Linked DNA regions of Canis lupus familiaris. The protein of the gene in region 1 purifies or fractionates together with the protein of each later gene. This does not show direct contact. Links are inferred from orthologs where the notes say so. Each region holds a gene or a part of one and is shown on either strand. Other genes may lie near its edges.

Region 1 (3,393 bases):
CCCACAGCCACTGGGCCGTCTGGGGCTCCTCTTATCTCCCCAGAAGGGGCCACTTCTGGTGCCCCAGAGGCTGTGACATCCAGCCTCTGCTCCTTGAGGGTCTCTGCTATGGGAGGAACTGAGCCACCTTAGATGAAAGCAGCAGGGCAGGCAGAGTGGGAGGCTGCCCTTTCTGGGCATGGCGTTTCCATGGAACCCTGGGGTTCTCAGACATTTCAGGCACGCTGGAATGTCAGCCTGTGTTGCCTTTTGAAATTTTGAAGTATTGAAACTGCTGGCAGGTCCTCTGCCCACTGCAATGCGGTGCTACAGACCCTTAGTGGCCACCTCCCTACTGGTCCTGCAGCCCCTTTGTGCCTGCCCCATCTCTGGTGACGTGGGCGCACTTGTGTCCAGCCCTCTCCTGAGGTCGTAGGATGAGCTGCTACAATCTGTTATCCCCCCGACATCCTGCCTGTGTGACACCCGCTGACAATGCAAGAACACTGTGCTCGCTGGTCAAGTGGTGGCTGCTGGTCTCCTGTTTCCCTGGCTTTGAGACTGAGGCTTTATTAATGGGGTTCTTAGGGTTGGGCATGGTCTTCAGACAGCGTGATAGCTTTCTATCACAAGTCCGAGTTCATATCAGTCCCCTTTTACCTGAGTGTGTTTTGCATCAGGGTCCCTTGAGAGGCACCTTGACAGGAGGGAGCCCCGCCACCACGCTCAAACAACAGTGACCATCCTTCTTCTCTTCTTCCAGGTACTGTTTCTTGATCACCCAAAAAAGAAGATTCGGGACACACAGAAATACAAACCTTTCAAGAGTCAAGTGAAGGTACTTACAATGAGTGGGGCTCTATACGTCACAGTTGTTCTCCTGGTTTGTGTAATGGTTCTGGTTTTGGTTTGGGGTTGTCTTAAGTTTTGAAACTCAAAGGTTAAAAGGAAAAAAAGTATAGAGTTCTGCTGAGGGCTGCCCCCAGAGGTCCATGTGAGCAGGAGCAGATTCTTCCAGCCCCAATCTCTGCAAGAAGACCCCCACCATTTCAGGGGAGCTGCCGCCCTCAGATCTGCTGTAGCAGGAGGCCTGAGGCTAGAAGAGAGATGCAGACTCCGCCTGGGTCCTCCTCTCCGGGCTGACTGCAGGTGTCACCAGCCCTGGAGGCCACGGCACCTCTGGTGAAGGCACATCGAGGGGCACTGGGTTGGGGCTCAGTAGGTGACTCCCCTAACTCCCTGCCCAGTGCAGTGCCCAGCAGCCCTAGGGCAGAGCCTGCAAAGGCCTGCACCCCAGTGTGGCTGTGTGCTTTCCCCTCTCCCCTGGCAGAGTGGGCGGCCATCTCTGAAGCTGCTTGCAGAGAGAATCCTGGGGATCCAGGTGCAGCAGGCAGAGCACTGTTCGGTAAGTGTGACCTGGGGGGACTGTCCTCAGGATCAGGGGCCATCCCTGACCATACAGCCAAGGTGCCCTGTCAGGGGCCTGGATAACTTAGTTGTAGGAGGCCTCTGGTCCCTAAAAGTGAGATGGCACAGCAGGCTCACAGAGCGTTCTTAAATTCTGAATGTTTGTTTACGTTTAGTTAATTAACATTTGAACACAAAAAAGTACCATCATTGCAGCTTTTTGGAGAAAAAGTCCCCAACCTAGGTTGAAGGTCTTTTAGGGTGACATGGCCCCAGCTAGTCCCTGGGCCTGGTGACAGGCTGCAGTGTGGGGGCTAAGGAGTGCTGGTGCCAGGCTGCTGGCCCCTGGAATCCAGCCCCCACATCATGGCATTACACTCAGAGATGTCCTCCCGCCTACGTGTCCGTGTGTCTGTCCTTGCCCTTCCTTGGGTTCCTTTTTTCCCCCATAAGTGAGGCACCAGGGTCACCAAAGCCTGGCCAAGATCGAGTCCCTAAACTGCTGCCTGGCTTGGCTTTTTCGTGTGTGTGTCTGGTCCTCGGGCCTGGCAGTTGTGGGGTTGGGTGGTCTGTAGCCATGCGTGTCACCTGCTCAGACAGTCACAGTAATGTTCTGTGTCCCCTAGATTCAGGATGCCCAGGCAGCAATGAGACTGTACATCCTGGTGAAGAAGGAGTGGGAGAGCACGGCCCAGGACAGGCACCCCACAGCCCCCACTCCAGACAGCAGCAGTGTCTCCGTCCACAGGCGCTTGTGACCAAGCATGGGACAGCTTGGGTCTCCCCAGAGCAGCAGCTGTGTCGAAACACGTTCACTGTCCTGGTGGCAGGGCGTGTAGTCCGGGACTTAGGGTGGGCAGCATGGGCAGGAGCGTCTGTCCTGGGCACAGCCAGAGGTGGCTGATGGGGACTGATGGAGGGAGGTACCTGCTGCCACTGCAGTGTGGCAGCAGCCTTGCCAGGGACTTGCCTGGTCCCAGGGGTGGGAAGTACCCACTCCTGGGTTTGCAGCGCCTTCCTTGGAGGAGGCCCCTCTTCCCTCTGAGTCCGATCACGTAAAGAACTCTGCTGGACTCCTGGACCTGGCCCTGTCTCGGAGTCGGCTATGGCTGCCTTTGGACTTGAGCGCCATCCCCTTCTCACCCCCGTGCACCCCCCCCCCCACCCGCCCGTGTGTAGACCTACCAAGTTTAAACAGAAGGGCAGGGCCCACAGTGTGGCGGCGAGGCTCAGGCTGTCTATGCTCAGTGACAGCAGTCACTCCCAGAGGTGGCGCCTCTCCCCCTCTAAGATGGACGTGTCGATCCGACCCCCAGCCGTTGGGCTGGAGCATCCCATGGGTTTGACCCCAGGTGTGCTGGTCTTTCTGAGAACAATCGGGGGGCTACGAGTCGCACTTGGTGCATGAAACCCTGGGCCACCTGACCGCTGCACAACGAAGGCCCAACCCCACTGAGGACATTTAACATAAATGCAGGTTTTTACTGGAGGTGAAGTTTGTGGAGGTTACTGTTTCCCTCATTTAGGATGGCCCCAAAGGCCCACTGTGTCCAGCTGCCTCCCTGAGCGGGCCAGGGCCAAGGCCTGTGTGGCGCCTGCCAATCCGAGCCCGCAGAGCCCCACCAGGCTCCAGCCTTGGGCCTCATCCCCAAGAAAAGTGAAGTGACGTTCCCCCCCCAACCCTAAGGAAAACCATTCACTGGGCAGCTCCAGGGATGTACAAGGAAAGAAAGGACAGGAGAGAAGGGGCAGGGGGTGGGAGGCTTCGGGGGGCCTGCCGCCTCACGGCAGGCCTGACTCTCCTCCCGCGGAGCCTGGTGGCGTGTTGGCCTCTAGGCTGAGGAGCACCGTCTCTGCGTATGAAACCAGCTCCTGGGAAGAGACAACCAGCAGGCACTGTTGCTGTGGACACTCTGGGGGCCTAGGAGTAGGTATTTTTGTGATGATCTGCCTTTCAGTGGAGAGGTCTGAAAGTCTCCACCCTTTAGGTTTGGGGCATTTGGGCAG
Region 2 (3,426 bases), on another chromosome or scaffold:
AGGGTCAAGTGTTCCACCTCACAGTGGGAGAGCTGATCAATGATGGCAAAGTTCAACTTCAACTTAATCACAAATTATCCTAACATAGTATCAATTTAACATCTGTGTTTATAGTAATATATGTAATTTGAATTAATCTTTTCTTCTATGGCAATTTCTAAAGACGACATAAAAGTGAGGCAACACTGAAAAAGGACAAAGTGAACTCCCAATTTAAATTTCCTATCAACTACAAGACCGAAAAAAACAGAGTGGCTCATGAGTCTCCCCTGGATTCTAGATGTACTATGAATCCTTTTCAGTAGGTACTGATTTACTAAGATCAATTAGGGAACGAGGCCCATAAAAGCTATAAACATTTGACCTCCTAATTAAACCAGTTAAGGTCAGTTTGACAAATGAATAAAAAATAACAGTGTTCCAGTTAAAGATCTGGTGGGTTTATCTCTTCTCAAAATAGATCCTACCTGAAGTTAAAAAAAAAAAAAAAATTGGGACATAAATGTTGAAAACATTTAAGTATTTTCTGGATTAATGAGGATTATTATCATTATTTAGTGAAGCCCAAATTTATAATTTACCATAAATGTTTTCACAGTAATAAAAAGCATAAAATCCTTTTTCAAAGAGACAGCAGTTGTACAGCACTTTCAATATTACATCTGTTACTTATTAGAAAAAACTCTTACTTCTTTTGGTATCACTGAAATCACCATAAATTACCCGCTTTATATTTTTTAGAAAGCAAATTAAAATAATGTTAATAAGGTATCCCCTGGCTTTACTTAGAATTTCTACCAATAGCCAAAATGTCAAAAGCGACATTAGATACACACTTTTATTAATTAAATAACTTTCATAAGAGTTACTTGTAAGTCATTTTAAATTGTAATCTTTCTGTCCCCTCCCCCTTGCTTTGATACACTCCTTTGTTATAAAAATAATGCAGAAATCAAATGTAAGTCTGAAAAACGACCAACTTTCCCTCAGTTTCCAAAGTCAAAAAGAAAAAAAAATACGTCTTTAAAAATAGAACTCATTCCCAGTTTCCACTGAATTCTTTCCTTGATTCTTAGGTCCTCAAATACATCCTTTAATCTCCAGCCAATTCTTGGTTGTGGGAAAAACATTACCTTGTAGAGTCCAGCATTTACATACTATTCTGGGGGGCGTGAGGAGGGCAGCCTATCCCTTCAACCTCAAGCTCAGTGAAGGCAGCACATCTTTTTCAACATTCCTGGCCTCCCAACCCAGTAACTAGAACTTAACATTTAGTACAGTTCTTCGTTTACAGACGGGTCCGAGGGTGAAAATTACTTTCTTCTTTTCCCTCCTTGGTGTTGCCCTCCTTTCCTCTTGCCGCCCAAACGAGGCGGCCCAGAGTTCATCTTGCCTCCCAAGCCCCCCTTTCTCTTCCCGGCCTGGCTGGGCGGGGCACCTTTCCTCTGGCCCCCAGGGCCCTGCCGGCCGCCTTTTCTCTTGCCCTTCTGGCTCATTTTCCTCCTCTTTGCAGCCTCCTCTTGGTCCTCTTCCCTCATCTGTTTATTGGTGGCCCTCGTCACGTCCAGCTGAGGTTTTTTGCTGTTCATCACCCGCAGCATCTCCAACTGGCTCTTCTTCTCAGCTGCAAAGTCCCCGAAAAGGGGCTGAAACTTCCTCTTCTTGCCGGAGCTGCGGGGCGCCTTCTCCTTGGGCAAGCGCTCCTGGAAACGCCCCACAGAGGCGGTGGAGACCTTGGCCACCTGCATGGCGCGGCCCAATTCCTCCTTACTCTGGTGTCCCGTAGGGTGCATGCCGGCCGCACTGGGCAGCTGCATCTTGTGCGCGCGAGCCAGGTTACGCAGCCGGTTCAGCTCATTCTTAGCCACGCGTTCCTTCTTGGCTTGGATCCGCTTGGCGAACTGGTCCTCTAAGGGGTCGGCACCGCCGGGCACCTCGATCAACCATTCCTTGGTGTCATCCCGAGCGCGCTGGTAGCCCCAGCGGCGTCGCCATTGGCCACTCACCTCGTCCCACACCAGATTGGTCTTCTTCTTGGGACGGATGCCCTTGAGCCGCGCGAACTGCTGCCAGCGTGTAAGCGGCCGCGGCCGGGGCACCGGCTTCTCGCGCGGCAGGCGCGTGGTGGGCTCCGGCAGGCGTGCCACCAGCGCCTCCTCCACGCGCTCCGTGGGCAGCTGCCACAGCTGGTTGATGAGCAGTTGCGTGTTGTCCCGCGCCAGGGCCTGCAGCTCCGCCTCCGGCGAGGGTCCCGCGCGCCGCAGCCCCGCTGGGGGGTTCGGGTCAGAGGCCAGCAGGTTACCCAGGTCGAACTCCAGCTCCAGCTCCTTGTGCACCGTGATGCGCTGCAGCTTCTCTGCCTCGTCCCGCTCCGCCTTTGCCAGCAGCTCCTCCACGCTCGGGCCCTCCATGGCTCGGCCTCGGCTCCCTCGCTCCGGGAAAGCACTTCAGAGCCCCTCTTGCCAACGCCGGCTCTCGCCCCGGCAACGCAAGCACGTGCGGCCGCCGAGACGCTCGTTGCGGAAGAGAAAGCTTCGCTTCCGGGGCACCCGGAACAGGCTCCCAGTCCCGGCAAGCCGAGGAAAGGCCGGCAGAGAGCGGTGTTGGAGAGCAGATGGGATTCCCGGAGGCCCTTCGGCGGGAGCCCGGAGGTAGGCGGTGCTGGCCCAGGAGTCTGGACTACATTTTCCAGGGCTAACTGGGGCTGTGGCTCCCAGGATGCAGCGGCGTAAGGGGCGGTGCAAATTTTGGACGTCGAGTTCGAGGGCTCCGCGAGCGACTGCTAACAATTTCAGTGTAAAATCAGTTCACGAGATGTTTTCGCTTCTGGGACTAGATAAATTATATTTTACCCGAGCCCAGACCCGTTCATGGGGGGTGGGGGTGGGGGTGGGGGTGCGGGGAGTCCTAGGTGTGGGCCGAGAGACACGTCCCACAACTGCACATAAAGCTAACTGTGGAAGATTTGGTTTGTTTTCCAGGCGAACGGGCCCTGGCAATTAGATTTCATCCTCTCCAGGCTTGTGGCAAAAGAGCGCTGGGCTCTGCAGTGAGACTGCGCGAGTTCCAACCCTGCTGTTGGACCTTCGGGTATTTGGGCCTATTTTTAAAAACCTGTAAGATGTGGTGGTAATAGCACTTACCTCTTAGGGCTGTTTCAAGGATAAATGAGTTAATATGTCTCTGGGGGAGCTTGGTATGGAACATAAGAGGGCGCAACAAATGTTAACGAAATACCAATTATTACTCTTTCTAATCGCTCTGGGAGTAGGCTAAAGAGGCAGTGTTATACGGTGATCATACACCCGGTTCTTGGGTCAGATGACCTAGAATCTCGTTTTACAGGACCTGCTTTGGACAGATTGTTTAACCTAAGCCCAACTCATGAGTGGAAAATATGAAACATTAGTTCCCGGTATGTTAGCC

What was found.
Region 2: the proteins of REXO4 (region 1) and RRS1 purify together in Homo sapiens (co-immunoprecipitation; 3 studies listed by BioGRID and IntAct, with this or other methods). This does not show direct contact. The link is inferred for Canis lupus familiaris from reciprocal best matches to the Homo sapiens genes REXO4 and RRS1.

Annotation. Positions count from the first base shown.
Region 1 is NC_049230.1:49,882,795-49,886,187, reverse strand, and holds the end of REXO4 (RNA exonuclease 4), read left to right. Parts: intron 1-742; coding exon 743-817; intron 818-1,309; coding exon 1,310-1,384; intron 1,385-2,012; coding exon 2,013-2,144; 3' UTR 2,145-2,881; downstream 2,882-3,393. Other genes in the region: serine/threonine kinase-like domain-containing protein STKLD1, read right to left, coding at 3,169-3,258.
Region 2 is NC_049250.1:16,481,688-16,485,113, reverse strand, and holds RRS1 (ribosome biogenesis regulatory protein homolog), read right to left. Parts: upstream 2,539-3,426; 5' UTR 2,412-2,538; coding exon 1,314-2,411; 3' UTR 813-1,313; downstream 1-812. UniProt on the Homo sapiens protein: Involved in ribosomal large subunit assembly. May regulate the localization of the 5S RNP/5S ribonucleoprotein particle to the nucleolus.